Linked DNA regions of Anolis sagrei. The protein of the gene in region 1 interacts with the protein of each later gene in a pairwise test. Links are inferred from orthologs where the notes say so. Each region holds a gene or a part of one and is shown on either strand. Other genes may lie near its edges.

Region 1 (7,849 bases):
AAAGTTTCAAGCCGGCCTTCCTTGAAAGTGTTGGGTCCCGTCTCTCAAAGAAGGCCGCTTGAAGCGCATTAGATCCGTCTCTGTATAGACTGAGCCTTCCTTCAACTGTTTTGATTTTTCTCAAAGGAAAAAGCAGAAGCAAACTCCTTTTGAAGGCGTCAAACCGATCTCATAATTTCCCAAAGTCTTGTCCTCGCGCAGTTTTGGAAAAACACACATCCACACAACCAACATGGCGGCTTTCTAGGGAAACTAGAAGTGTTAAGAAGGGAGTCAAGGAAGGAAGGGGGGGTTAAGGCATGGGGTGATTCTTCCTCCCTGTAAAGCCCTGGTGATGCTTCCCATACAATCGCCGAGGGGTTTCTCGGAGGGACAATGCGGGCTGCTGAGGGAGGGAGATAGGGCCATTATTTTAAAAAGATAATTGGATTAGAAATCAAAACGAGATTCCAAAAAGAAAGAAAGAGAGAGAGAGAGGAGAGAGAGAGAGAGTAATTAATTGAAAAAGGGGGACAGAAGGGCAATTAGAAACCGCGAGTGGCTTAAAAACAAAACGGGGTCCTTTGAAATCCACAGAGATCCCGACGAAGGAGGAGGAAGTTTGGGTCCAGTTTTGGGGCGATTATTAGGAAACTCACTCGTGTCGCTGCGGGTTTTAGTGCGGCGAAAGGAAAAGGCGCATCCAGGCTCCTTAAGGGCTGCGAAGAAGCGACGGCATTGGCTTTTCCTGGAAAGAGGGAAGAAAGGGAGGAAGGGGGGGGGGGACACAAGAAGAAGGACACGGATCGCATTATATTGTATTACAAACCCTATCAAGTCGCTCCTGACACGGGGGAAAAATAATCCTTGACTAGGAAGGGAAAGTCGTGCCTGAAACGACGCCAACATCCCCAGAAACTGCGGAAAGAGGGGACAAAGGCCGCATCCACACAGAATACTCAAGGCGCTTTCGAACTAGCCTTCTGCAGGAATGGAAAGGTCCGATGATGCGGGTGGAGGCTTTCTAAGAATGGGATTTATTGAGACAGGCAGCCGAGATGGAACCCCAAAGAGTAGGAAAAGTGGGGTTTCAAGGAGGCGAGGGGACAAGAAAGTAGACCTGTTGCCGCCTCTCTCTTTCCCCAGAAGGAAGGAAGGAAGGAGGGATGTGACTGGGGAAATGGCCCCGATCCGCCCTCTTCCACCCCGCGCCCCGCTTGGAAGTGCAATAATATGCTCAATGCTGACCCGTACCACGCACAATGTGGGTAATATGTGGTAAGATAGGTCAGGAGCACTTTCCCGGAAGCAAGGCCTTCCTTCCTCGTGTTGTCGTGGCTGGAATCACTGGGTTGCTTTGAGTTTTTCAGGTTGTATGGCTATGAACTCACAGCAGCCTTCTTTCCTCCTTCCCTTCGCTCTTTCCTTCCTTCCCTTTTCCTTTTCTTCCTTCCTACTTTCCTTCCGTCTTACCTTTCTTCCTACTTCCCTTCCTTCCTTCTTCCCTTCGCTCTTTCCTACCTTCCTTCCTTTTCTTCCTTCCTACTTTCTTTCCTTCTTACTTTCCTTCCTTCCTAATTTCTTTCCTTCTTACTTTTCTTCTTTCCTACGTTCCTTCCTCCCTCCTTCACTTCGCTCTTTCCTTCCTTCCTTTTCTTCCTTCCTTCTTACCTTTCTTCCTACTTTCCTTCCTTCCTACGTTCCTTCCTTCCTTCTTCCCTTCGCTTTTCCTTCCTTCCCTCCTTTTCTTCCTTCCTACTTTCTTTCCTTCTTACTTTTCTTCTTTCCTACTTTCCTTCCTTCCTACTTCCCTTCACACTTTCCTACCTTCCCTCCTTTTCTTCCTTCCTACTTCCCTTCCTTCTTCCCTTCACTCTTTCCTACCATCCCTCCTTTTCTTCCTTCCTTCCCTTCCTTCTTCCCTTCACTCTTTCCTACCTTCTCTCCTTTTCTTCCTTCCTACTTTCCTTCCCTTCTTCACTTCGCTCTTTCATTCCTTTTCTTCCTTCCTACTTTCCTTCCTTCTTACTTTTGTTCTTTCCTACTTTCCTTCCTTCCTTCTTCCCTTCGCTTTTTCCTTCCTTCCCTTCTTTTCTTCCTTCCTCCTCCCCTTGGCTCTTTCCTTCTTTCCCTCCTCCTTTTCTTCCTTTCTACTTTCCTTCCTTCCTTCCGTTCCGGCCTCGCGCTGTGCTTCCAGCAGGGCCGCAAAGCTAAGAGAGAGCGAGCGCGCGCGTGGGAGGGAAGAGGGCTCGAACCTCCTGGGACCCCGTCCTTCCTTCCTTCCTTCCCTCCCTTTCCTCTTCCTTTCCTTCCTTCCCTCTTTCCTTCCTATCCTTTTCCTTTCTTCCCTCTTTCTTTCCTTACCGCTTCCTTTCCTTTCATTCCCTTCCCTCTTTTCTTTCCTCTTCCTTTCCTTTTTCTTTTCCTTCCTTTCCTCTTTCCTTTCCTTCCTTTCCCTTCCTTCCCTCTTTCTTTCCCTCTTTCTTTCCTTCCTTCCTTCCGCCCGGACTCCCCCTCGCGCGCGCCCTTCCGCGCGCCTTTCCCCCCTCCGGACCCGACCAGAGAGAGAAAGTTTCAGGAAAGTTTCTATAGAAGGAGGAGGGGGGGGGTAGCTGGGGCAGGGAGATTGAAAGACGGAGAGAGAGAGGTCTCTCTGGGAGCCGCACCTCCAGCAACGGAGGGAGGGAAAAGTTGGCCTCCTCCGTGTCCGCCGCTCCGCCCGACGCCGCTGCTCCCTTCCTCTTCCCCTTGCCCGGACTTCCTTCCCAGGAGAGGCTCGGACTCCTCCAAAGGGGGAGGGGAGGGGGGGAGTGAGGGAGGGGGGAAGGGGAGGGAGGGGGCAGAGGGGGGCGGGGAGGGAGGGGGGCGCCTCACCTGTCCGCGCGAGAGGGAGGGGGGCGCCCCGACCGGCCCCGCGCTGCCTCTCTCTCTTCCCACGGAAACACCTCGCTCGTTCTTCAGATTCCCTCCAAGCCGCAGCCTCCCTTCGCCCGCCCAGCTGTTTAGCTGATAGGAAATGTCGCCCGGCGAAGATTGATCACCTTTCCCGGGCCCTCCCCGGGTATGTGAGCGCCGGGCGGAGGCGGGACCCGGGACGGCGCCAATGGGCGGGCGCGGGAGCGCCGAGCGACAGCCGCCGGGGCCAATGGCGGCGCGGGACGGGGCTCCCTCCCCCAGGCCACGCCCCGCGCCCCGCCCACGCTCCCCGGCGGCGCCCTCGGGGCAGGTAGAGCGGGGCAGAGCCGGGTTGGGGCCCCCAGAGGACATCCATGCGCGCCAAGGTCGGGGTCCCGCTTCTATCTATCCTGAGAAAGAAAGAGGACGGAGGGTAGGGCGGGCAAGGCTTCTGATTCCAAGAAAACTTTTCTGAGGAGCTCTCCAAGGAGAGAAGCGTGTGAAACAAGAGTAGGAACCAAACATGGACTGATCAGAAAGCAGGAGAGAGAGAGGCGGGTTCCTCCTCTTTATGGAAGCATCTTCCACATTGTAAACACTCACAAATCCGTGTCAGAGCCTCAACACGGAGCTCAGAAAAGGGGTCGGGACCCCCCGTTTCCCGTTTAGACACAACGAAGCAGACAGGACCAAGGCAGATAGGATGATGATGATGATCCGTTTTGATATCCTCAGGTTCTCTCTGCGAGGAAATCACCTGTTTGTGTATGTGTGTGTGTGTGTGTGTATACTAGCCGTCCCCATCCACGCTTTGCTGTGGCCCAGTCTGTGTATACGTGTTTCCTATGTGTATATATGCGTATATGTGGTTTTGCGCATGAGTTGTAATGTATTTTTTCATATTTTTGCCTTTTTAAGTCTCTTCTGTTGTGTTTTGCAGTGTTTTTATGAGTGATGGTCACTCGTTGGCTTGATGGGTGTATTGTGTCCAAATTTGGTGTCAATTCATCCAGTGGTTTTTGAGTTATGTTAATCCCACAAACGAACATTTATACACACACACACAAAGGTGATTTCCCCGTATGTATGTATGTATGTATGTATGTATGTATATGTGTGTGTGTGTGTGTGTGTGTATATATAAATGTTCGTTTGTGGGATTAACATGAGTCACACACACACAAACCACTGGATTAAATTTCCATATATGTGTGTGTGTGTGTGTGTGTGTGTGTCTCTCACATACACAAACCACTGGATTAAATTTCCATATATATGTGTGTGTGTGTGTGTGTGTGTGTGTCTCACACACACAAACCACTGGATTAAATTTCCATATATGTGTGTGTGTGTGTGTGTGTCTCACACACACACACACCACTGGATTAAATTTCCATATATGTGTGTGTGTGTGTGTGTGTGTGTCTCTCACACACACACACAAACCACTGGATTAAATTTCCATATATGTGTGTGTGTGTGTGTGTGTGTGTCTCACACACACAAACCACTGGATTAAATTTCCATATATATGTGTGTGTGTGTGTGTGTGTCTCACACACACACAAACCACTGGATTACATTTCCATATATGTGTGTGTGTCTCTCTCTCACTCTCTCTCTCTCTCTCTCTCTCACACACACACACACAAACCACTGGGTTAAATTTCCATATATATATGTGTGTGTGTGTGTGGGTCTCACACACGCACAAACCACTGGATTAAATTTCCCCATAGATAGATAGATAGATGTGTGTGTGTCTGTCTGTCTGTCTCTCTCACACACACATACACACACAAAGGCGATTTCCCCATATATGTGTGTGTGTGTGTGTGAGAGAGAGAGAGATCCTTGGTCACGAAAAATTTGGAGAACAACAAAAGCTTTCTGAGTGTCACAAATCGTGTCAGCAACAACATTTTATCTGCGGGGGGGGGGGGTAACAACTCTTCCATCAAAAGGAAAATAATTCTGTCTATCCTGCCTTGTTATTGTTGCAAAGACTGACTTGTTTTCAGTCAATGTTTGGTTTCTATATTTGTTTTATACACCTTTATACCAAGGATCAATCACACAAACCTTTCCTTCCCTCTTTCCTTTCCTTTCCTTCCCTCTTTTCCTTTCCTTCCTACCCTTTTTCCTTTCTTTCCTTTCCTCTTCCCTCTTCCTTTCCTTCCTAGTCGGATTTATTACACTATTTTTAATTCCTGGGTTAATATGTCATTTCTTCATTGGTTCTATTATTGAAGACATGGAGAAAGTTTTATTCAATTGCAAAAAAAACCCCCATAAAAATACAAAACATACCGCTCGAGTTTTTCAGTGAATATCTCAACCAATTCCGACCTCACTACCTCTGAGGATGCTTGCCATAGATGCAGGAGAAAAGTCAGGAGAGAATGCCTCCAGAACATGGCCATATAGCCCGGAAAAACCTACAACAACCCAGTGATTCCGGCCATGAAAGCCTTCGACAATACCAAGTGTTGGTTTTGACCGAAAGACCTACAACATACTCAATTCCGACATAGTTTGTGGCAGCAAAACTGAAGTTTCTGGAGTTGAACAACTCCTTTCAAAGCAAGGGAAGCACAACTAAAGAAGAAATAATACTTTCGAAACAGGAACATGTTTTTTTCCCTGAAATGTTGTGACATATAGTGTTTTTTCCTGCTTAAACTTTCCCCTCCGCTTTTTATTTTGGAAGAGATCTGCCTCGAAGTGGAAAAGAATGGACGTTCGCAATAGTTTGTGTCCTTCATTCAAAAATCAAACGGGTCGGAAGGCATGTTTGTTTACTAGGTTGCGGTGAGTTTTTCGGTCTATATGGGCATTTCTCAGTAGCATTCTCTCCTGACGTTTCGCCCACATCTAGAGCAGGCATCCTTCCTTTAGTTTACAAACACACTTCTGAATTGTGCCTCTTCAATCCTGCCTTCCAGTCTTGAGAGAACTACAGCTGTGATTTGATGGTCTCAAGTAGTAGTGGAATTTGAATTCGGAGAGTATCTATCAAATTTAATCCACTAGTGTCTTATCGAAGGCTTTCATGGCCAGAATCACTAGGTTGTGGTAGGTTTTTCAGGCTGTGTGGCCATGTTCCAAAAGAGGCATTCTATCCTGACCTTTCGCCTGCATCTATGGCAAGCATCCTCAGAAGTTGTGAGGTAGGAATTGGTTGAGATATTCCTAACGTTTTGCCTGCACAACCTCCGAGGATGCCTGCTATTACTTACTTACTTACTTACTTACTTGCAGGCGAAACGTCAGGAGAGAATGCTTCTGGAACATGGCCATACAGTTCGAAAAACTCACTGCAACTCAGTGATTCCAGCCATGAAAGCCTTCAACAACAAATGTTTGTTTACCTCAAAATCAGCCCATGAGACTTAGAAATAGGTAGCAAAAAGTATGAGTAAAATGCGCTGGCATGTTTTTCCCAGGCTGGGATCTACACTGTCTCAGACTTGAACTGGATTATATGTGTCTACCAGCAATGTAGATATCTCACTTCTTTTCCCATCCGGGGTTATTTTGAGCTGCTTTTCTAAGTTTAATGTATTGTCGAAGGCTTTCATGGCTGGAATAATTGGATTGTTGTCGTTTTTTCCTCCGGGCTATATGGTCATCTTGTAGAAGCATTCTCTCCTGACGTTTCGCCTGCATCTATGGCAAGCATCCACAGAGGTTGTGAGTTTGTGCCAGCCACAAAAAAACCCCCCCGAAGTTTCTGGTGTAAGAACAACTACTTTCAAAGTCAAGTCCTGCACAATTACACAGGAAATAACACATTCAAACGAGGAACAGATTTTATTTTTTCGAATTTGGTGACATCGTTAAATTAACTGAAGCTAAAGACCTCCCAACCTCTGAGGATGCTTGATATAGATGTAGGCGAAACGTCAGGAGAGAGTGCTTCTACAAGATGACCATATAGCCCGGGGGGGGGGACTACAACAACCCAGTGATTAAACAGGAAAGAACACATTCAAACCAGGAACATATTTTATTTTTCGAATTTGGTGACATAGCTTAATCAACCTCAGAGGTCTCACAACCTCTGAGGTTGATTAAGCTATGTCACCAAATGTCTCACAACCTCTGAGGATGCTTGCCATAGATGCAGGCGAAACGTCAGGAGAGAGTGCTTCTACAACATAGACGGGGGGGAAAAAACCCGACAATCCTTTTCTAAGTTTGTTTAGAAGTTTTGCTTCCTTCCAACAGGTCCTTCCACCAAAGGATGTGAATCAGGATAGATAATAATAATAATAATAATAATAATAGATGGGAGTTATCTCCAGATCTACGTCTAGATAATAATAATACTAATAATACTAATAATACTAATAATAATAATAGATGGGAGTTATCTCCAGATCGGCCTACGTCTAGATAATAATAATAATAATAATAATAATAATAATAATAGATGGGAGTTATCTCCAGATCGGCCTACGTCTAGATAATAATAATAATAATAATAATCTCAAGAATATAGATAATAATAATAATAATAATAATAATAATAGATGGGAGTTATCTCCAGATCGGCCTACGTCTAGATAATAATAATAATAATAATCTCCAGAATATAGATAATAATAATAATAATAATAATAATAGATGGGAGTTATCTCCAGATCGGCCTACGTCTAGATAATAATAATAATAATAATAATAGTTATCTCCAGAATATAGATAATAATAATAATAATAATAATAATAATAATAATAATAATAGATGGGAGTTATCTCCAGATCGGCCTACGTCTAGATAATAATAATAATAGTAATAATAATAATAGATGGGAGTTATCTCCAGAGAGATACTTTGTAGCCTTTCCTAATTTTTATTATTATTATGTATCACCTGCCTCTGCTCACACAAAGGAGGGAGCGCCATATTTGAGGAGATCTGGTCCTTTTGGCTCATAAATATTAATAGGAGCTAATCCTCTCTCCAAAGTTT
Region 2 (7,338 bases), on another chromosome or scaffold:
AATTTTAAAAGGTTAGAACTTAACATTTATTTATGGAGAGCCAGAGCAGTGTAGGTGGGGGTTGGGTTAGGATTCTGGGAGTTTGAACCCTCACTCAGCCATGGAAGCTCACCAGGTTACACACTTTTTGCTCAGCCTCTGAGAAGGACAATGGCAAACCTCCTCTGAAAAACTTGCCAAAACAAATAACAACAACCCATGATAGGTTCACTTTAGGGTCACCATAAGTTAGAAAGAGTTTGAAGGCACATACCAACAACCATTTATTTATTGTGCAATCTTTGGCACAAAAAATAAGCCCTGTTGTGTTCAACAGAGGAGAACCGCTGGGTGTGCTAGCACATGTTTTCTGGGAGTTACAGTCTAGAAAAGTAACCTTTCCAAACTTTTCCAAGCAAATCTGCCTTTTTGGCAATCATGCACATGAAGAGGAAACTGAGAACCAACTAATCATTAGGAAAATAGGATGGCTTCTATCAGATCTGGCTTCTTAAACAAGATGTGCTTATTTATGAACCGTCACTATTTTACTTTTTAAATGGATGTTAAGCATATTTAATAGAATGCTCAATCTTACAGTAGATCCAGTTGCACTTACACAATAGTTTCAGATAAGAGGATTTTTCTCTTTTACTGTCTTAATAAGCCTATTCTAAGCTATGTAGAAAAGCAGTACTGGACCAGAATGGTGTAGTAGTTTGAGTGCTGAATTCCAACTCTGGAAAACAGGATTCAAATCAATGTATTGTTGAAGGCCTTCACGGCTGGAATCACTGGGGTGTTGTGTGGTTTCTAGCCGACATGTTCCTAGAACATGGTAATACAGCTCAGAAACCAACACAATACCCCAGGGTTCAAACCCCTGCTCAGCTATGACAAACTATTAAGTGGCCTTAGGCAACTTATGTTTTCATTCCCAGAAAACCCCATGGTAAGTTTGCCTTAGGGTCACTGTAAGTCAAAAATGACTTGAAGGCACTCAACAACAACATAGTATACTGACAGTTAAAAACCCATGTGCATGCATTCATACAAATGTGCATCATAGCCAAGAAGTATTAACAAAACAAATATACAGCAGCCCCACGGGATTGAAAGAAACTTGAAAAGTGCCAACAATAGCAACTCTCACAAACAGAACCTCAGAGCTTGGGAAAGTCACTTCCAAAACATAGAATCTTCTTGGTGGCTCAACCAAGTGCACACACTTTCAGAGGGTAATGCACACACTTTCAGAGGGTAATGCACAGAGGTATTCAATACCTCCTTGCACAACACATGTGCTACAGGAGTGCAAAGAAAGCTAGATGGCACCACAGTGTACTCCTGAAGCCCATCAGTGCCTGGTGGGAAGGAATGACTGCATGGCTTTGATCTCCTAGGCCTTCAAAGTTGTATGTCTTCTGGTGAAATAGTATCAAGCCAACCCTGACCGGGACCGCCTTCCACCTGGATGCCCTCACTGTGGGAGAAGGTGCAGATCAAGAATAGGGCTCCACAGTCACCTATAGACCCACTGCCAGGATACTACACTTGGAGGACCATCATCCTCGGACTACGAGGGATCACCTAAGTATGTCCCGGCATTGAATGTTTGCCGTATATATGTTGTGCTCTGCCTTGAGTCCCCTGTGGGGTGAGGAGGGTGGAATATAAATGTTTCAAATAAACATATTGTCGAAAGCTTTCATGGCTGGAATCACTGGGTTTTTGTAGGTTTTTTTGGGCTATATGGCCATGTTCAAGAGGCATTCTCTCCTGACGTTTCGCCTGCATCTATGGCAAGCATCCTCAAAGATTGCCTCTGAGGATGCTTGCCATAGATGCAGGCGAAACGTCAGGAGAGAATGCCTCTTGAACATGTCCATATAGCCCGAAAAAAACCCAACAAAAACCCAGTTTCATATAAATAAATAAAAGGTTCTTGTGGGTTTTTTTCGGGCTATAGGGCCATGTTCTAGAGGCATTTCTCCTGACGTTTCGCCTGCATCTATGGCAAGCATCCTCAGAGGTAAATAAATAAAATAAATAAATAAAAGTTACAGTCCGAGTAGCAGGGAATGCATCCTGACAGTGGTACATCTAAGCAACTTGCTCACATTAATTCATTGTGTTGTTTCCTTTGCTCCCACCCACCATCACTAGGAGCCCCTGGCGGCGCAGTGGATTAAACCCCTGTGCCGGCAGGACTGAAGACCAACAAGTCACAGGTTCGAATCCGGGGAAAGGAGGATGAGCTCCCTCTATCTGCTCCAGCTCCCCATGCAGGGACATGAGAGAAGCCTCCCACAAGGATGATAAAAACATCAAATCACTCGGGCGTCCCCTGGACAACAGCCTTGCAGACGGCCAATTCTCTCACACCAGAAGCGACTTGCAGTTTCTCAAGCCGCTCCTGACACGACAAAGGAAAAACGACAAAAAACCCACCATCACTGCCAGTAACATCAGTATACTAGCCTTGAGTTGCTGCTATGTTGTCAGAAGATTGGTCATATCCATCAAGCATTGTACTAAAGACTCTTAGAGACCGTTTACTAACAGACTGCGAGAGGAGGCTGCCACAAAGTAGATAAAGAATACTAATGTAAAGCAGGCAAAGATTCAAAACTGAACTAGGTTTCCGTTGACACAGCTTACACACCTGCTCTGACTTTCATCAATGTGCAGAAAGTTGGGAGGTTATGAATTCTCCCTCTGCTCCTAGCCAGCAACTCTCTTTGTACGCACACGCACATACACCCCTTGCCATCCTGTGCCACAAACAGCCAGCGCCTCGGGCTGAATGATTTCCATCCAATGACGCAGCCAGTAATTCCATGCTGCCCTGTGTAAAGAAGAACCAAGCAAGGAGAAAAAGAGCAGGGTTTTAGCCACACACCTTGGTCAGCTGCATTCTGGCAGTGCCTCTTGGGCCCCCTTTTGCCTGGGGTGCAGAGCAGCAGTCGGTCCCCCAACAATCAGGCCCTCCTGTCCAGCCCATACGATCCCCTTCTCCGAGTCCCAACTCCTTTCTCCGGCAAAGTTGTGGGCAAATTTTCTCCCCCTTCTCAGAATCTTTGGAACTGCCTTGCTTTGCAAACTCCTCCTCCCTGTCCCACCCCCCCCTTCATCACTCACACACACACACACACATACACACAGAGCGCCTTAATAATATTTAGCTCAGTGCCAGAGCAAACTCAGCCCTGCCAGATGAAGCCGCGTGCGAGCTTATAAAACCAGGCCTGTAAACAGGTGGCAAAAGCCAAGCTCTTGGGATGTAGGTAAATTAGCCGGACTCTATGTGTAAGCGTGCATGTAACATGGGGATGAAGGTCATCACCTTTGGGGGGAAGAACATGGAATGAAGGGAAAGCAGGGCGAGATGACATATTGTTGGAAACGGAAAGGACGCCTTGTCAGAATGCATAGACTCCAAAGAGCGTAACAGGATAATTGGAAACATATTACCACTGGAAAATCCCTCCAGAGCAGCTTGGGAGTAACAAAGAGACATGTGTACCATTCAGCCAGATCTGTATCCTGTTTCCTTCCAGTTTTTGGTGCTCTGGGTCAGCGGATTCGGGGCCCATCTCAAGAGAGGGAGGAGGAAAAGAGCTTGGTTTTTGCTTCCTAAGCAGGAATGTGTATATAGATGTGTGCGCGCGTGATGGGCTGGATAAACATTTATGTTAAATCTTATATACATTGGCTCGGCAACTTCTGGGTTTTCAAAGGTATATGCCTAGACACAGGGCCCTTCCAGATAGGCCCTATATCCCAGGATCTAATTCTACTTTAAACTGGATTATATGAGTCCACACGGCTAGATAATCTGGGATAAAGAGAAAACCTGCGATCAGATCCTGGGATATAGGGCCTGTCTGAAAGGGTCCATACTTATCTGGGAGAAATCCCCTTTGGACACAGCAAGAGGATGCCTGCCATTGATGCAGGCGAAACGTCAGGAGAGAATGCTTCTAGAACAGTGGTTCTCAACCTTGGGTCCCCAGATGTTTTTGGCCTTCAACTCCCAGAAATCCTAACAGCTGGTAAACTGGCTGGGATTTCTGGGAGATGTAGGACAAAAACATCTGGGGACCCCAGGTTGAGAACCACTGTTATAGAACATGGCCATACAGCCCGAAAAACCTGCAACAACCTAGTCTTCGGCAATACAGCAAGATTATTTAAGAGCCACCCCTTTCATAGGCATTGGCTCCATCTATCTATATAAATAACTAGCTGTGCCCTGCCACGCGTTGCTGTGGCCTATAGTAAAACTTATCAAAGTTGAGGTAGATATCTGGACTATTATGAAAGAGAGGTACCTACCTATTCCTTCCCCCTTTTCCTCCCCCTTTCTCTACTTTCTTCCTTCTCTCCCTCTTTCTTTCTTTCCTTCTTTCACTACTTGGTTTCATCCTTCTCTCTTTCCTTCATTCCCTCCCCCTTTCTTCCTTTGCCTTTCTTCCCTCCCTGTTTGCTTCCTTCTTTCACTTTTTATTTCCTTTTATTTCACCACCATCATAACAATAACAATAATGCAATGCATTGCCTCCGGGACCTGACACCTCTCCCATTCCCCCTAAAAGGGTCTCAGAGGAACAATAGCATAATAATAATAATAGAAATAGCAACCTTTACCCGCCACGTGTTGCTGTGGCCAATCTTCCCTCTTTCTCTCCTTCTTTCCCTCCCTCCCTCCCTCCCTCCCTCCTTCCTTCCCATCTTTCCTTCTCCTCTTCTTTCTCTATCTCTTTCCTTCCTTCCCCCTTTTTCTTTCTCTTCTGCTGTCTCTCTTTTCTTTCCTTCCATCTTTCCTTTTCTTTCCTTTTCTTCTTCCTCTAACTTTCCTTCCTTCCCCCTTTTTCTTTACCTCCCTTTCTCTTTCTTCCTTCTTTCCTTCCTTCCTGTCTTTCCTAGATTTTGACAGGGCGGGAAGGGGCGGGGTGGGGTTTGGAGGTGGCCTGAAGTAAAAGGAGGTAAGATTGGGGCAGGGGAGTGATGGAGCGTGGGGTTGCGTGTGTGTGTGCGGCGGCGGGGGGAGTGATGGAGCGTGGGGTTGCGTGTGTGTGTGCGGCAGGGTGTGTGTGTGTGCGGGAAGCGGCGCGGTGGGGCTTGGAGTGGGCATGGTTTCCGCAGAGGGAACGTTGGCCGGAAGGCCATGTGCGCGCGCAGTGGAACTTGCGGCTGGGCGCCAATGCGCATGCTCAGTTGTTTTGCCGTTTTGTGAGTGTGTTGTGTTGTGTTGTTTTTCATTTTGAGTAGATATGTTTGTACCTTGTGGGTTGTGTTATGGGCATGGGAATTTTGGTTAAGTTTCGTTGGGGTTTTTTTGAGTTTTGTTCTTTTGCCGTTTTGTGAGTGTGTTGCTGTGTTGTTTTTCATTTTGAGTAGATATGTTTGTACCTTGTGGGTTGTGTTATGGGCACGGGGATTTTAGTTAAGTTTCGTTGGGGGATTTTTGAGTTTTATTGTTTTGCTGTTTTGTGAGTGTGTTGTTGTGTTGTTTTTCATTTTGAGTAGATATGTTTGTTAGGCCTGTCGGTTTTGTTTCGTTAATTCGTTTTTCGTTTTTTAATCGTTATTTTTTTAATATCCGACGCGATATCAAAACATATTTTTAAACCCGGAAGGGTTTAAAAATATCGAAGCAGCAGCCCCATGTATTTTACGAGCTTCAGCTCGTGTCGTTAATGGCATGGAGGCTGCTGCTGAGTGGTGCTGCAGTGCTGGAGCCTGGGAGCCAATCCGGCGCTCCCAAGCACCCCAGCAGTGCACCGTGGCAGAAGCCGGATGGCGCGCGGAGGCCGCTTGTGAGCGCGCGCGCGCCATCCAAGCGGCCTCCGGCTCCTGCGCCCCCTCCTCCTCCTCCTCCTTCTCCCAGCTGTGTTGCAGGAAGTGCAGCTGGGAGGAGGAGGAGGAGGAGGAGGAGGGGGGCGCAGAAGCCGGAGGCCGCTTGGATGGCGCGCGCGCTTACAAGCGGCCTCCGCGCGCCATCCGGCTCCGGTTCCTGCGCCCCCCCTCCTCCTCCTCCTCCTCCCAGGAGGAGGAGGAGGAGGGGGGGCGCAGGAACCGGAGCCGGATGGCGCGCGGAGGCCGCTTGTGAGCGCGCGCGCCATCCAAGCAGCCTCCGCGCGCCATCCGGCTCCGGTTCCTGCGCCCCCCCCTCCTCCTCCTCCTCCCAGGAGGAGGAGGAGGGGGGGCGCAGGAACCGGAGCCGGATGGCGCGCGGAGGCCGCTTGTGAGCGCGCGCGCGCCAGCTGGGAGGAGGAGGAGGGGGGGCGCAGGAGCCGGAGCCCATTGGATGGCGCGCGCGCGCTCACAAGCGGCCTCCGCGCGCCATCCGGCTTGTGTGACTTTTCAGGGCTGTATATGACCATGTTCCAGAAGCATTCTCTCCTGACATTTTGCCCACATCTATGGCAGGCATCCTCAGAGGTCTGTTGGAAACTAGGCAAATGGTGAGTTATATATCATCTCTAATACTATGGAATGTCCAGGGTGGGAGAAAGCCATTGGTGACCATTACTGCAACATTCACACTTAGCCTGTTTGATCAAGAAAAAATTTTTTTCTAAAATGTTTTGTAAATAATAACGAAAATTCGTAAATAACAAAACATTTTTTTGGTAAGTTTTGTAAATATTTTTAATATCGAAACAAAAAAACACCCCAATTAAGAATCGAATTTAGAAACAAATTTTTTCTTGATCAAACAGGCCTAATGTTTGTACCTTGTGGGTTGTGTTATGGGCACGGGGATTTTGGTTAAGTTTCGTTGGGGGATTTTTGAGTTTTGTTGTTTTGCCGTTTTGTGAGTGTGTTGCTGTGTTGTTTTTCATTTTGAGTAGATATGTTTGTACCTTGTGGGTTATGTTATGGGCACGGGGATTTTAGTTAAGTTTCGTTGGGGGATTTTTGAGTTTTGTTGTTTTGCCGTTTTGTGAGTGTGTTGTTGTGTTGTTTTTCATTTTTAGTAGGTATGTTTGTACCTTGTGGGTTGTGTTATGGGCATGGAGATTTTGGTTAAGTTTCGTTGGGGGATTTTTGAGTTTGTTGTTTTGCCGTTTTGTGAGTGTGTTGTTGTGTTGTTTTTCATTTTGAGTCGATATGTTTGTACCTTGTGGGTTGCGTTATGGGTACGGGGATTTTGGTTAAGTTTCGTTGGGGGATTTTTGAGTTTTGTTGTTTTGCCGTTTTGTGAGTGTGTTGCTGTGTTGTTTTTCATTTTGAGTAGATATGTTTGTTTCTTGTGGGTTATGTTATGGGCACGGGGATTTTAGTTACGTTTCGTTGGGGGATTTTTGAGTTTTGTTGTTTTGCCGTTTTGTGAGTGTGTTGTTGTGTTGT
Region 3 (6,876 bases), on another chromosome or scaffold:
CAATACTGGACTCTCCTGGCTTGGATTTGGTGTATTGAGACGCTAATTTACTGTTAATGAATTGACTGTTGAATCTGGATAATGTCTTAAATGGATTTTATTGTGTTAATTGTAATTTCATTGGTATATATCTGGATTGCATCACTTGATGCTAATGTGAGGATCTTCTCGGTGGTGGCCCCCCACTCTGGAACTCACTTCCCAAGGATATCAGGCTTGCCCCAACATTGACAGTCTTTAGGAGGAGCTTGAAAACGTGGCTGTTCCAGTGTGCCTTCCCAGAATAAGGAAAATTTCACAGCAATATGTCCTCAGAATGCACTTTACTACTGGTTTAGGATTGACTGCGCTCCCTCATCTCTTTTAAAATCCTATACCAGATATATCCTACCTTGTTCATGCCCAGCGTTTATTTTTTAAAATTTTAAACTATTATATTTGGCCCGGCCATAGGTTTAAAATCCTTGTGTTTACTGTTTATTGGTTATTGTTTATATGTGATTTATATTAATTGTATTGTATTTATTGTTTTTGTTTATTGCTTTTGTTTCTATTGATGTGTTGTTGGGCTTGGCCTCATGTAAGCCGCTCTGATTCCCTTGGGGAGATGGTGGCGGGGTATAAATAAAGTTTATTTTATTATTATTATTATTAAGGCCGCCCTGAGTCCCCTTGTAGGGAGAAGGATGGGATAGAAATAAATAAATGCAGTTTAACTGCCATGGTTCAACACTATGGATTCATGGGAACAGTAGTTTCAAGGGCCCTTCCACACAGCCCTATATCCCAGAATATCAAGGCAGAAAATCCCACAATATCTGCTTTGAACTGGGTTATCTGAGTCCACACTAAGACAATGTGGGATTTTCTGCCTTCATATTCTGGGATATAGGATTGTGTGGAAGGGCCCTAGGTTATGAGTCCATATTGCCATGTAAATCCAGTTCAAAACAGATAATGTGGGGTTTTCTGCCTTGATATTCTGGGATATAGGGCTGTGTGGAAGGGCCCTAGGTTACGAGTCCATATTGCCATGTAAATCCAGTTCAAAGCAGATAATGTGGGGTTTTCTGCCTTGATATTCTGGGATATAGGGCTGTGTGGAAGGGCCCTGGGTTACGAGTCCACACTGCCATATAAATCCAGTTCAAAGCAGATAATGTGGGATTTTCTGCCTTGATATTCTGACATACAGGACTGTATGGAAGGGCCCTGGGTTATGAGTCCATACTGCCATATAAATCCAGTTCAAAGCAGATATTGTGGGATTTTCTGCCTTGATATTGTGGGTAATAGGACTGTGTGGAATGTCCCCGGGTTATGAGTCCATACTGCAATATAAATCCAGTTCAAAGCAGATAACGTGGGATTTTCTCCCTTGATATTCTGGGATATAGGCCTGTGTGGAAGGGCCCTGGGTTATGAGTCCCTACTGCCATATAAATCCAGTTCAGAGCAGATAATGTGGGATTTTCTGCCTTGATATTCTGACATACAGGACTGTATGGAAGGGCCCTGGGTTATGAGTCCATACTGCCATATAAATCCAGTTTGACACACATAATGTGGGATTTTCTGCCTTGATATTATGGGTAATAGGACTGTGTAGAAGGGTCCTGGGTTATGAGTCCATACTGCCATATAAATCCAGTTCAAAGCAGATATTGTGGGATTTTCTGCCTTGATATTGTGGGTAATAGGACTGTGTGGATGGGCCCGGGGTTACGAGTCCACACTGCCATATAAATCCAGTTCAAAGCAGATATTGTGGGATTTTCTGCCTTGATATTGTGGGTAATGGGACTGTGTGGAATGTCCCCGGGTTATGAGTCCATACTGCAATATAAATCCAGTTCAAAGCAGATAACGTGGGATTTTCTCCCTTGATATTCTGGGATATAGGCCTGTGTGGAAGGGCCCTGGGTTATGAGTCCCTACTGCCATATAAATCCAGTTCAGAGCAGATAATGTGGGATTTTCTGCCTTGATATTCTGACATACAGGACTGTATGGAAGGGCCCTGGGTTATGAGTCCATACTGCCATATAAATCCAGTTTGACACACATAATGTGGGATTTTCTGCCTTGATATTATGGGTAATAGGACTGTGTAGACGGGTCCGGGGTTATGAGTCCATACTGCCATATAAATCCAGTTCAAAGCAGATATTGTGGGATTTTCTGCCTTGATATTGTGGGTAATAGGACTGTGTGGATGGGCCCTGGGTTGAGTCCATACTGACATATAAATCCAGTTCAAAGCAGATAATGTGGGATTTTCTGCCTTGGTATTCTGGGATACAGGACTGTGTGGAAGGGCCCTGGGTTATGAGTCCATACTGCCATATAAATCCAGTTCAAAGCAAATATTCTGGGATATAGGGCTGTGTGGAAGGGCCCTAAGCCTTGACTGCTGGGGCCTCACCGAAACACAGCCTTCCCTGGCTCTGAGACATGGCAATTAAAAGTGGTACTGAACTGCATTCATTCCATTGTGTAGATGCACCCCTAGCCTACATTTTCCGAAAGGGGAACTAGGCTGAAGGTCAGAGGCCTCCCTCGTCGTGGGCCAAGATGGTCGGGACCAGGCCTCCTCTCCTCTCCCTCCCTCCCTCCCCTTCCTCCCTCCCTTCCTTACACAGTGACATGGCCGGAGCCGCGCACCACCACCGGGTCCGGCGAGTGCTTCAGCAGCTGCTCCTCCAAGGCCCGCTCCTCGTCTTCCTCTTCCTCGTAAATCTCGTCGAAGTCCGCCATGGCCACGACGGGGCCCGGCCGAGGAGCCGCGCGGGGCCGGAAGGCAGGCCCTGAAGCCTCCGCCAGCGAGAGAGAGAGAGAGAGCGGGAAGACCCAGCCAGGCGCCGCCGCCGCTGCTCTCTGCCTTCCCGCTCCTTCGGCCGGAGAAGAAGCCTCCGCAGTCCTCCTCCTCCTCCTCCTCCTCGCCCTCAGCGCGGCCGGCAGGAAGCGCCCGTCCTGATCCCGCGGAGGGGGGCGGGCCGCAGGAACAACAACAACCGCCACAACATCCGCTCGCTCGCCTGCGCGCGCCCCGCAGCCACTCAGCGCGCGGCTTTCGGCGCCAGGCCCCGCCCCCTTCCCCTCGTCGCGAGCGCACGGCTGGCCCGCGCATGCGCCCCTCGCGGCCGGAAAAGTCAGAATCCGGCGAGGTCAAGGGACAGTGGGGTGGATGGATGGCTTGGACAGGAAGCAGCCTGATTCCCTACAGGCCTCTCTAAGCCTAGAGACAAAAGGCCTTCCTTTATTACTCCCTGACTGTGGAGGCCCTTGTGGCCTCTTTCAACTCTGGGAGGAAAATGTGAAGAGGCAGGCAGAGCTTTAGACCACACCTGGAATATTGAGCCCCATTCTGGGCACCACAATTGAAGAGATATTGACAAGCAGAGGAGGGCGACTAAAATGATCAAGAGTCTGGAGAACAAGCACCATGAGGAGCGGCTTAAAGAGCTGGGCATGTTTAGTCTTCAGAATTGAAGGCTGAGAGGAGCCATGATAGACATAATTGCTGGTGGTGGCAATAGCAGCAGCTTCAATGTGCCCCTGGCCCAACATGCCCTGTGAAGGGGTGCTTCTGATGTTGCATAAGAACAGTTCTGGAGCCTCTTTTCTGATAAGTATAGATATGGACTAAGTATCTTTCTTTAGGGTCTGGAGAACAAGCCCTATGAGGAGCGGCTTAAAGAGCTGGGCATGTTTAGCCTGAAGAAGATATGGCTGAGAGGAGACATGATGTATAAATATAGGAGCCCCCGGTGGCGCAGTGGGTTAAACCCCTGTGCCGGCTGGACTGAAGACCGACAGGTCGCAGGTTCAAATCCGGGGAGAGGCGGATGAGCTCCCACTATCAGCTCCAGCTCCTCATGCGGGGACATGAGAGAAGCCTCCCACAAGGATGATAAAAACATCAAACCATCCAGGCGTCCCCTGGGCAACGTCCTTGCAGACGGCCAATTCTCTCACACCAGAAGAGAACTTGCAGTTTCTCAAGTCGCTCCTGACACAACATAAAAATAAATGTATAAATATGTGAGAGGAAGTCATAGGGAGGAGGGAGCAAACTTGTTTTCTGCTTCCCTGGAGACTAGGACGCGGAGCAATGGCTTCAAACTACAAGAAAGGAGATTCCATCTTAATATTAGGAAGAACTTCGTGACTGTGAGAGCCGTTCAGCAGTGGAACTCTCTGCCCCGGAGTGTGGTGGAGGCTCCTTCTTTGGAAGCTTTTAAACAGGCTGGATGGCCATCTGTCAGGGATGCTTTGAATGCAATTTTCTTGCTTCTTGACAGGGGGTTGGACTGGATGGCCCATGAGGTCTCTTCCAAGTCTTATGATTCTATGAGCACATCCCAACTCCCAATGCCCTGACTGTGGAGGGAGTTACAGGCAGAACTTCATAATGCCGGAACCCAGAAGCAAATGAAGGGCCTCTTTTCATCCCAGCTGCCACTGCCCTGACTGGAGAACTTCATAGTGGTTGAGTCCAGAAACACATCCCAACTGCCATTGCCCTGACGAGGAAAATACAGGCAGAACTTCACAATGCTTGAGCCCAGAAGCAAATGAAGGGCCTCCATCCATCCAAGCTGCCAATGCCCTGACTGTGGAGAACTTCATAGTGGCTGAGCCTGTAAACACATCCCAACTGCCATTGCCCTGACTGTGGAGGGAATAAAGGCAGAACTTCATAATGCCTGAGCCCAGAAGCAAATGAAGGACCTCAATCCATCCCAGCTGCCACTGCCCTGACTGTGGAGAACTTCATAGTGGCTGAGCCTGTAAACACATCCCAACTGCCATTGCCCTGACTCTGGAAGGAGGAGAAAGCAGAACTTTATAATTCCTGAACCAAGAAGTAAATGAAGGACCTCCATCCATCCCAGCTGCCACTGCCCTGACTGGAGAACTTCATAGTGGCTGAGTCTAGAAACACAACAAATTGGAACTGTCCTGTTCAAGGATAGAGAAATGAAGCAGGCACAATTCTATCATGCCTAGGCCCAGAAGTAGATCAAAAACCCTCCCTTGGCTGCGGGTAGAGTGAAGCTATGAGACTTAATCCCCTCCCACATTGCTGTCATCATTTCCTTTTGTGTCATGTCTCAATTAGATTGTAAGCCTGAGGGCAAGAACTGGTTTCGTTGTTGTTTTTCTTGTAACACATGTGCAGTGTTGACACTATGTAAATAAATTATGGTGATGGGAAGTGAAGCTTGCTGGTCTCATTGAGGCCTTCTTGAAAGTATAATGTATTGTTGAGTTGTCCAAATGGAGTGTAGCCTAGAAGGTTGAGCCAAAACATGTACACATGTTTCTGTCATATTATATGACTCCCAATTCATCCCAGTCTTTACAAACAAAATAACACACATCATAATTTAAAAATATAAAGTTACAAATACAGTCAGTTGTAGCATAAAACACCCCTACACTCTTGGTTTATGTAACACCAGGGAGGGAGGACACCAATTGGTGTAAAGAAGCATGCACCTATATGCAGTCCTCGGTCAAATCTTTAATATCTGAATTGCTATGAGTGTTATAAAGCAGAAGCCTCTTGGCTTGGAAATCACAGGCTTGAGTCTCTCTTGTATGAAACAAAGTAACAAGTTTATTCAAACACTTCAGGCTCCAATGTTTGTAGTTACAATTACTATTTTTGTTGCAAACTTAAGTTTCAGTCACATATAGTATACTTGTTGCACTTTCCTGAAATAGGCTTTCAATGTTTCTCATTTATCAAGATGGTATTTGCTTTACACATACAGGACTAAAATTACTTTCCGATTCAAGCACCACTGGCTTTTCTTTAAGTTCTCAAAACTTGTACTCTATTTGACTAGCGGCTTACTTTTCTAACAGGATTTATTAACTACCATTCATGAACAGGAATCCCTAACTCTCTGTCCTTCTCAAACTGCAATCCCTACTCAACTAACTCTCTTTTTAAAACTCTCTCTCTAACTCCCCTCCTTTTTGAACTTAACTCCGCCCCTTTAGAATGTTCGGCCCTGCTCTTCCCAACTGTCATTTTGTCTCCCAACCTTTTGAAATCCTGGGGCTATGCTAATCTGCATATGACCAATCAGCCTCCATATGCAAATAAATCCGGTCCCTCTGTTGCTATCCTCTCTTGTCTCTAATCTTCCTTATCTGCCCCCTGCGAACATAGATCTATGTACTAAAATTTCATATAGAGTAACAATTCGCTACAGTTTACATTGTTGATCTTTATTGCCATCAAATTGCCTTAACCAAAAGTCAACATGATGGTTTGAATGCTGGGCTAGGATTCTGGGAGATCAGAATTCAAATGCCTTCTCAACTATGGAAACTCACTTGGGCAAATCACACTGTCTGAATAAATCTTGCCAGGAAAACACCATGAGAAGTCTTGAAGGCACAGGATAACAAATATCTACATCAATGGAAACCCTAAGAATAAGAGACCCACAAGACATTCTGTGATCAGTAACTCTGCTCAGGACCCTGCGAATTCAAGGCTGTGACTTCCTTGATGGAGACAATCTACTGGTAAAGCTGTTTACCTCTGTTCTTACTGTCTCTAACTTTTATGAAGAATCCTAGTTTACATATCTATTAAAAACAGTTTAATTGACTTCACTACCTGAAGTGCAGATCAATTAGTTTCTGATACAGAACATATGCCATTCAGTAGTCTCCATGTGCTTGCTCACAGAAAACCATATTTCATAATCTAGAGCTGATGTAGTAGTAGTAATCTTTCGTGGGTAGTCAGCTTCTCCTCTCCCAACATCCCCGTTGCATCGGCACTATAAGAGGGTTTTGTGAGACCAGCTGCTCTCATTACCGCGTGGTTTTGAGACAACGGTGTAATGG
Region 4 (7,307 bases), on another chromosome or scaffold:
CAAAACATCTGGAAGGCTGAAGTTTGCCCATGCCTGGTGTAGATGCACTCGGGAAGAGGAATCAAAGCATAATTGCAGCAATTTGCTGAAGCACATGGCGGGAAAGGTACTCCAAACCCCTCTCCAAATCCCCAGCCTTCCACTGAGTCAAAGCAAGCAAGGGTGCATCTACACTGTTGAACAGATGTACTTTTAACTGCCATGCCCCAAAGCTATGGAATCCGGAGAGCTGTAGTTTGGTGATGCTCGCATCCTCTTTGTCTTGTAAAACTACAACTCACAGGATGCCACAGTGTTAACAAATAAGAAAATACACAAAAAAGTATAGAAACAAAACTTCCAATTCTGGAATATACTAAAACTATCAAATATTAGAAGAATTAGGCAGTTTAAGTGGTGTCAAAGTGCATTCATTCTACAGTGTAGCTACACCCAAGGAGAGGGCTCAAAGCAGGAATGGCAGCCTTGGGAGAAAGTGCCTCTCTGAAGCAGTCAAGCAACCAAGAGTGTGTCTACACTGAGACAAGGCAGTTCAAGTGGTGCCAAACTATACTGCATAAATTCTACAAGGTGCACCCAAGACAAGATGCACCCAGGACCTTTCCACAGAGCCCTATATCCCAGAATATCAAGACAGAAAATCCCACAATATCTGCTTTGAACTGGGTAATCGGAGTCCACACTGCCATATATTCTTGACTATGTTATTGCTGTGCGTTTCGACGCTTGTTTTATATTTTGTATTGTTTTAAATTGCTGTTGATGCACTCTAATGTGCTATGTTTTAACTCTGTTATCTGGGCTTGGCCCTATGTAACCCACCCCAGGTTCCTTCAAGGAGATGGAGGCAGGGTATAAAAATACAGTAGTAGTAGTAGTAGTAGTAGTAGTAGTAGTTATTCTTATTATTCTTATTATAAAGCAGTTCAAAGCAGATAATGTGTGATTTTATTCAGCTGTGTGGAAGAGGCCCCAGACTCGGTCGGAAACCCAAAGTCATCCCCGGGAAGCCCCTAAAGCCAAAGAAGCTGCCTAAGGGCACCTGTTCGCTCATAGGTGCCAAGCCAGGCCCCTAGAGTCCATCTTGCAAGCTCTGCTGAGGCTCACTTACTTTTCGCAATGGCAACTCCGTGTGAAAGCAACCCCTAAGTTAGATCCATGGGGAGCCAGCCGGAGAGGTCGGCCTTGCCTTAAAATGCCGCAGGGCTCATTGAGAGAAGATTCCCTTTGCCAATCCTTGCTGCTGGGTTGCCAAGGGCGTCTTCTTCTTCTGGAGCAGAAAGCAATCCTGTTGCGCCCCAAAAGCCCTCTCTTTCCCAAGGGCAAACATTCAAGGAAAGAAGGCGATTGAGTTGCCTCTAGCCCTCCCTTGTTCAAGAAGAGAGGCGGCGTCCATGCGCTTCAGATCCAAGGGGGTGAAAAAGGAAGCCTTCTTTGGCTACCAGGTGGAAAAGCAAAAGGAGAGCTGGATTGAGCTTGCAAAGTGCTCTCTGGCTCAAACTCCTCCGGCATCCACACCAATGGGAGACTGTAAACAACAGCCAGGGGAGGAAGGAAAAGGGGGGCTTCTTGTGGAAAGCTGCTTGGTCTCCTTTCTCTCTTGGTCTCCTTTCTCTCTCTCTCTTTCTGCACTTCCCTTCCTTCTTTTTTGCTTTCCTTCCAAGGCGCGTGGGGCGCCTCGCTTCCTCGACTTTCCAAGCTCCTTTTTCTTGCTTCACCGCATGGTCCCTTCGAGCTGGAGCCAGACAAAGTGCCCAAGCGATGCCTGCTGGAAGTTGAAGGGGGGAGGGAGAAGAAAGAGATCAGTAAAGAGAGCAATGGACAGGTAGAAGTCACCCTTCCATACAAAAAATATATATCCAATGACTTTGTGGCAAAGCTGCCATGTGCTTTGGAGAGGGGGACGGCTTGCTTGACAGCCTTGTGGCACCCATTGGGGATTTTGGATGGGCACCCAATGGGGATTTTGGATAGGCACCCAATGGGGATTTTGGATGGGCACCCAATGGGGATTTTGGATGGGCACCCAATGGGGATTTTGGATGGGCACCCAATGGGGATTTTGGATAGGCACCCAATGGGGATTTTGGACAGGCACCCATTTTGATTTTGGATATCTGTTCTGGAAAAGGGGGGAAACCCAGACGGTGCAAACTCTGAGCAAGGCAGAAACAGAGAGATAGCACAGACATATCACTTGGGGAGGGGGAGGTCCCAGTTAGAGCAGTGGGGGCAAAGAAAGGTCCCAGTTCGAGCACATATGAGCAAACTTGGGCCTTCCAGGTGTGTTGGACTCCAACTCCCACCATTCCTAACAGCCTCAGGCCCTTTCCTTTTCCCCCTCAGCCGCTTAAGCCTGAGGCTGTTAGGAATGGTAGGAGTTGGAGTCCAACACACCTGGAAGGCCCAAGTTTGCACACACCTACTTTAGAGCCTTGTAGTAGGGAAGGTTGAGCAAGAAGTTCCCCAAGTTTAGCCTCATTTCTGGGTTTCCCCAAGGAAACATTGAGACTTCTTTGGACCTCCCCAATTTTGAGACTTCTTAAGACCCTCTCCTGGAAGCATTCAAGCCAGAAGCTCCCAATCTTGAGCCCTGTACTGGGTGGGTTCCCTAAAGCAACCCTCCCAACCTCTTAGGCTTTGTTTAGACCTAGGCTTGGAGACTGCAGAAAGGTGAAGGTCCCCGCCAAGCGCCCCCCAATCCGAACAATAAGGCTGCTGCTCCTGCTGCTGCTGCTGCTGCGTGGAGTCTCTTTCGGGAAAGGCTCCGCCTTGGCTGCACGCTGCAAGGCTTTGGGGCTCGGCAGCCTGGGCTCGGGCAGCACCTGAGCTCCTTCCCCGAGCGGATTACCGATTGCAAAGGTGTTTCCTCCCCGAGGCGCATCCACAGCAAGCTAAATCCAAGGCGGAGAGGCACCGAGGGCAGGTCCGGTGGCGGCGATCAAGCCTTGCGAGCGGCGCTGTCCTTTTGCGTGGCTCTGTTCAGAATGAGCTCAACTCGGCACGGGAACCTTTCAGCGCCGAGCCCCCCTTTCGCCCCCTTGGTCCCGCCCCCAATGATGTCAATCTGTCACTCAGGAGGGCGGCCCGGAAAACCCGGCCTGGACTCTCCCTTGCCCGCCTCCTTCCAGTGCACACAAGAAGCGCGCGCTTCCTCGCGCTCATTCATGCCAAGGTTTGCTTACCATTCATCAGGATTTCTTCATCGCACCAGAGAAGAAGGAGAAGGAGGAGGAGGAGGAGAGAAGTAGAAGGAGAAGAAGGAAAAGAATTGGACACAATATCAAGATTTCTTCATCTCACAAGAAGAAGGAGGAGGAGGAGATAAGAAGAGAAGGAGAAGGAGAAGAAGAGGACACAATATCAGGATTTCTTCATCTCACCAGAAGAGAAGGAGGAGGAGGAGAGAAGGAGGAGGAGAAGAAGAAGAGGAAGAAGAAGAAGAAGAAGAAAAGAAGAACTGGACACAATATCAAGATTTCTTCATCTCACCAGAAGAAGGAGGAGGTGAAGAGAAGGAGGAGAAGAAGAAGAGGACACAATATCAGGATTTCTTCATCTCACCAGGAGAAGGAGGAGGAGGTGACAAGAAGAAGAGAAGAGGAAGGAGAAGGAGAAGGAGAAGAATTATTTGGCACAATATCAGGATTTCTTCATCTCACTAGAAGGAGGAGGAGGAGGAGGAGAGAAAAAGAGAAGGAGAGTAGTAGTAGTAGTAGTAGTAGTAGTAGTAGTAGTAGTGGACACAATATCAGGATGTCTTCATCTCACCAGAAGGAGGAGGAGGAGAAGAGGAGGAGGAGGAGGAGGAGGAGGAGAAGAAGAAGAATTGGACATAATATCAGGATTTCTTCATCTCACCAGAAGAAGGAGGAGGATGAGGAGAGAAGAAGAGGAGGAGAAGAAGGAAAAGAATTGGACACAATATCAGGATTTCTTCATCTCACCAGAAGAAGGAGGAGAAGATAAGAAGAGAAGGAGAAGAAGAGGACACAATATCAGGATTTCTTCATCTCACCAGAAGAAGGAGGAGGAGGTGACAAGAAAAAGAGAAGAGGAAGGAGAAGAATTATTGGGTACAATATCAGGATTTCTTCATCTCACCAGAAGAAGGAGGAGGAGGAGGAGAGAAGAAGAAGAGGAGGAGGAGGAGGAGGAGGAGGAGGAGGAAGAGAAGGAGGAGGAGGAGGAGGAGGAGGAGGAAGAAGAGGAGGAGGAGGGAAGAAGTAGAAGGAGAAGAAGAAGAAGAATTGGACACAATATCAAGATTTCTTCATCTCACCAGAAGGAGGAGGAGAAGAGAAGAAGAGAAGGAGGAGAAGAAGAGGACACAATATCAGGATTTCTTCATCTCACCAGAAGAATCAGGAGGAGGTGAGAAGAAGAAGAGAAGAGGAAGGGGAAGAATTATTGGGCACAATATCAGGATTTTTTCATCTCACCAGTAGAAAGAGGAGGAGGAGGAGAGAAGAAGAAAAGGAGGAGAAGGAGAAGAAGTAGTATTGGACACAATATCAGGATTTCTTAATCTCACCAGAAGAAGGAGGAGGAAGAGAAGAGAAGAAGAAGAAGAAGAAGAAGAAGAATTGGACACAATATTAGTATTTCTTCATCTCATCAGGAGGAGGAGGAAGGGAAGGAGAGAAGAAGAAGAGAAGAAGAAGAAGAAGAAGAGGAAGAAGAAGAAGAATTGGACACAATATCAGGATTTCTTCATCGCACCATATTGTGTCCAATTCTGGGCACCACAATTGAAGAGAGATATTGACAAGTTGGAATGTGTCCAGAGGAGGGCGACTAAAAAGATGAAGGGTCTGGAGAACAAGCCCTATTAGGAGCGGCTTAAAGAGCTGGGCATGTTTAGCCTGAAGAAGAGAAGGCTGTTGAAAATGTCCACATGCTTATGAATTTCAATGGCTTCTCTGTGTAGTCTGGCATGGTGGTTTTTAGAGTGGTCCAGCATTTCTGTGTTTTCAAGTAATATGTTGTGTCCAGGTTTGTTCTTTCACACTTGTCTCAAATGGACAAGAGTTATTTCTCCCACCCTGGACACTCCATAGATATATAAACCACTCTTGCTGAGTTTCCAACAGACCTCACAACCTCTGAAGATGCTTGCCATAGATGTGAGTGAAACATCAGGAGAGGATGCTTCTGGAACATGGCCATATAGCCTGGAAAACTCACAGCAACCTGGTGTATTCCTTGTTTCGATTATTTAGACACTGAAAGCTTTAAAGTGCCTATCCAAGAGTGACACATGACACCTTGAGGACTCTGATGCCTTCCCTGAGAGGACAATGAGCACTGAAAAAGAGGATGGATATTGTGTCGTCGAAGGATGGATATTTCTCCACTTTCAAAGTGCATGAATGCAGTTTGACACCACTTTAACTGCCATGGCTCAATGTTATGGGACCCGGGAGTTATAGTTTGACGAGGTACCAGCACTCTTTGGTAGAGGTGGCTAAGCACCTTTGCAGAACTGCAACTCCATTAATCCATTTCACACAGAGAGGGAAGTTAAAGTGGTGCCAAACTGCATTAATTCTACAATGTAGATGTACTATCGGTGTTGGGCTGTAACGGGAAGTGTATCCAACAATGCATATTAGTTTTTCTAGAGATTTGTGGTTTTAAAAGGACTGCCAAATAGTACTGCCAAATAGTACTGGTGCCTAATCAATGGGTTTAGATTGACGGTGCAATTGGTTTAACCCCTGTGTCAGCAGGACAGCTGACCGAAAGGTCGGCAGTTCAGATCTGGAGAGTGGGGTGAGCTCCCATCTGTCAGCTCCACCTTCTCATGCAGGGACATGAGAGAGTCCCCTGCGCAACGTCTCTGCAGGCAGCCAATTCTCTCACACCAGAAGTGACTTGCAGTTTCTCAAGTCTCTCCTGATGCACACACACAAAATCAAATTACATTTCCTAGGATTCCCTAGCATTGAGCCAATGCAGTGAAAGTGGGGTCAAACTACATTAATTTTCCAGCATAGATGCATCCTAGGATCAGGTTATCTGGAAAACTGATTTTACACCCACACAATCCTTAGAAAAACTATTCCACAGCCAAAGTGCCGTAAGTGTGAAAACCCTTTGCCTAATTCTCACCTGCCTCTTTTCATATCCAACCCACATAGAGGAGAGAGCCTTTGAAGAGATTCCTAAATATTAAGATAGGTAAATGTGGTGGAAATCGGTTTTCCAGATAACCTGATCCCGATCTGTTCAAGGGATTGCCAGCACTTTCAACTGGAGCCCAAAATGTGAGCCACTGCAGCTGACAAAATAAAGGCATCATATGGTTGCAGTGTCCAGCCAATAATCTTGCCGTCTTATTCTGAATCAACTGGAGCTTCTGGGGCATTCATTTGAAAAGCAAAACCACATGCAATGCATTGTAGTAGTCCAGATGGGATGTTACTTATCCGTAGTAATGTGTAGTCTGATCCTCTGAGTCCTAAATGTATTCAGAAGTCTTTAGTGCAACGTTTCTCTACCTTCCTAATACCGCGACCCCTTAATATAATTCCTCATGTTGTGGTGACCCCCAACAATAAAATTATTTTTGTTGCTACTTCATAACTGTATACTTTGCTACTGTTATGAATCGTAATGTAAATATCTGATATGCAGGATGTATTTTTATTCACTGGACCAAATTTGGCACAAATACCCGAAACGCTCAAATTTGAATACTGGTGGGGTTGGGGGGGGGGATTGATTTTGTCAGTTGTAGTTGCTAGGATTTATAGTTCACCTACAATCAAAAGCATTCTGAACTCCACCAACGATGGAATTGAACCAAACTTGGCACATGGAACTCCCATGACCAACAGAAAATACTGTGGACTCAAACAATGATGGATCTGGACTAAACTTGACAGGAATACTAAATATGCCCTAATGTGAACATTGGTGAAGTTTGGGGAAAATAGGCCTTGACATTTGGGAGTTGTAGTTGCTGGGATTTATGATTCACTTACAATCAAAATGCATTCTGAACCCCAGCAATGATAGAATTGGGCCATACTTGGTACTTGGAACTCCCCCTGACCAACAGAAAATACTGGAAGGATTTGGTGGGCATTGACCTTGAGTTCTGGAGTTGTAGTTCACCTACATCCAGGGAGAACTGTGGACTCAAACAATGATGGATCTGGACCAAGCTTGGCACGGATACTCAATATATGTGAACATTGGTGGAGTTTGGGGAAAATAGACCTTGACATTTGGGAGTTGTAGGTGCTGGAATTTATAGTTCACCTATGATCAAAGAGCATTGTGAACTCCACCAATGATAG

Evidence for each region.
Region 2: the proteins of OTX1 (region 1) and TNS2 interact in binary tests that used the Homo sapiens proteins (3 or more experiments, as listed by UniProt). The two-hybrid records come from large-scale screens. The link is inferred for Anolis sagrei from reciprocal best matches to the Homo sapiens genes OTX1 and TNS2.
Region 3: the proteins of OTX1 (region 1) and CHIC2 interact in binary tests that used the Homo sapiens proteins (3 or more experiments, as listed by UniProt). The two-hybrid records come from large-scale screens. The link is inferred for Anolis sagrei from reciprocal best matches to the Homo sapiens genes OTX1 and CHIC2.
Region 4: the proteins of OTX1 (region 1) and SPRY1 interact in binary tests that used the Homo sapiens proteins (3 or more experiments, as listed by UniProt). The two-hybrid records come from large-scale screens. The link is inferred for Anolis sagrei from reciprocal best matches to the Homo sapiens genes OTX1 and SPRY1.

The regions. Positions count from the first base shown.
Region 1 is NC_090021.1:152,704,644-152,712,492, reverse strand, and holds the start of OTX1 (homeobox protein OTX1), read right to left. Parts: upstream 3,033-7,849; 5' UTR 2,854-3,032; intron 728-2,853; 5' UTR 639-727; intron 1-638. UniProt on the Homo sapiens protein: Probably plays a role in the development of the brain and the sense organs. Can bind to the BCD target sequence (BTS): 5'-TCTAATCCC-3'.
Region 2 is NC_090022.1:183,696,410-183,703,747, reverse strand, and holds the start of TNS2 (tensin-2), read right to left. Parts: upstream 3,037-7,338; 5' UTR 2,984-3,036; coding exon 2,882-2,983; intron 1-2,881. UniProt on the Homo sapiens protein: Tyrosine-protein phosphatase which regulates cell motility, proliferation and muscle-response to insulin. Phosphatase activity is mediated by binding to phosphatidylinositol-3,4,5-triphosphate (PtdIns(3,4,5)P3) via the SH2 domain.
Region 3 is NC_090025.1:74,480,730-74,487,605, reverse strand, and holds the start of CHIC2 (cysteine-rich hydrophobic domain-containing protein 2), read right to left. Parts: upstream 3,040-6,876; 5' UTR 2,758-3,039; coding exon 2,639-2,757; intron 1-2,638.
Region 4 is NC_090025.1:37,237,246-37,244,552, reverse strand, and holds the start of SPRY1 (protein sprouty homolog 1), read right to left. Parts: upstream 3,029-7,307; 5' UTR 2,852-3,028; intron 1,769-2,851; exon of another isoform or gene 1,766-1,768; 5' UTR 1,112-1,765; intron 1-1,111. UniProt on the Homo sapiens protein: Inhibits fibroblast growth factor (FGF)-induced retinal lens fiber differentiation, probably by inhibiting FGF-mediated phosphorylation of ERK1/2. Inhibits TGFB-induced epithelial-to-mesenchymal transition in lens epithelial cells.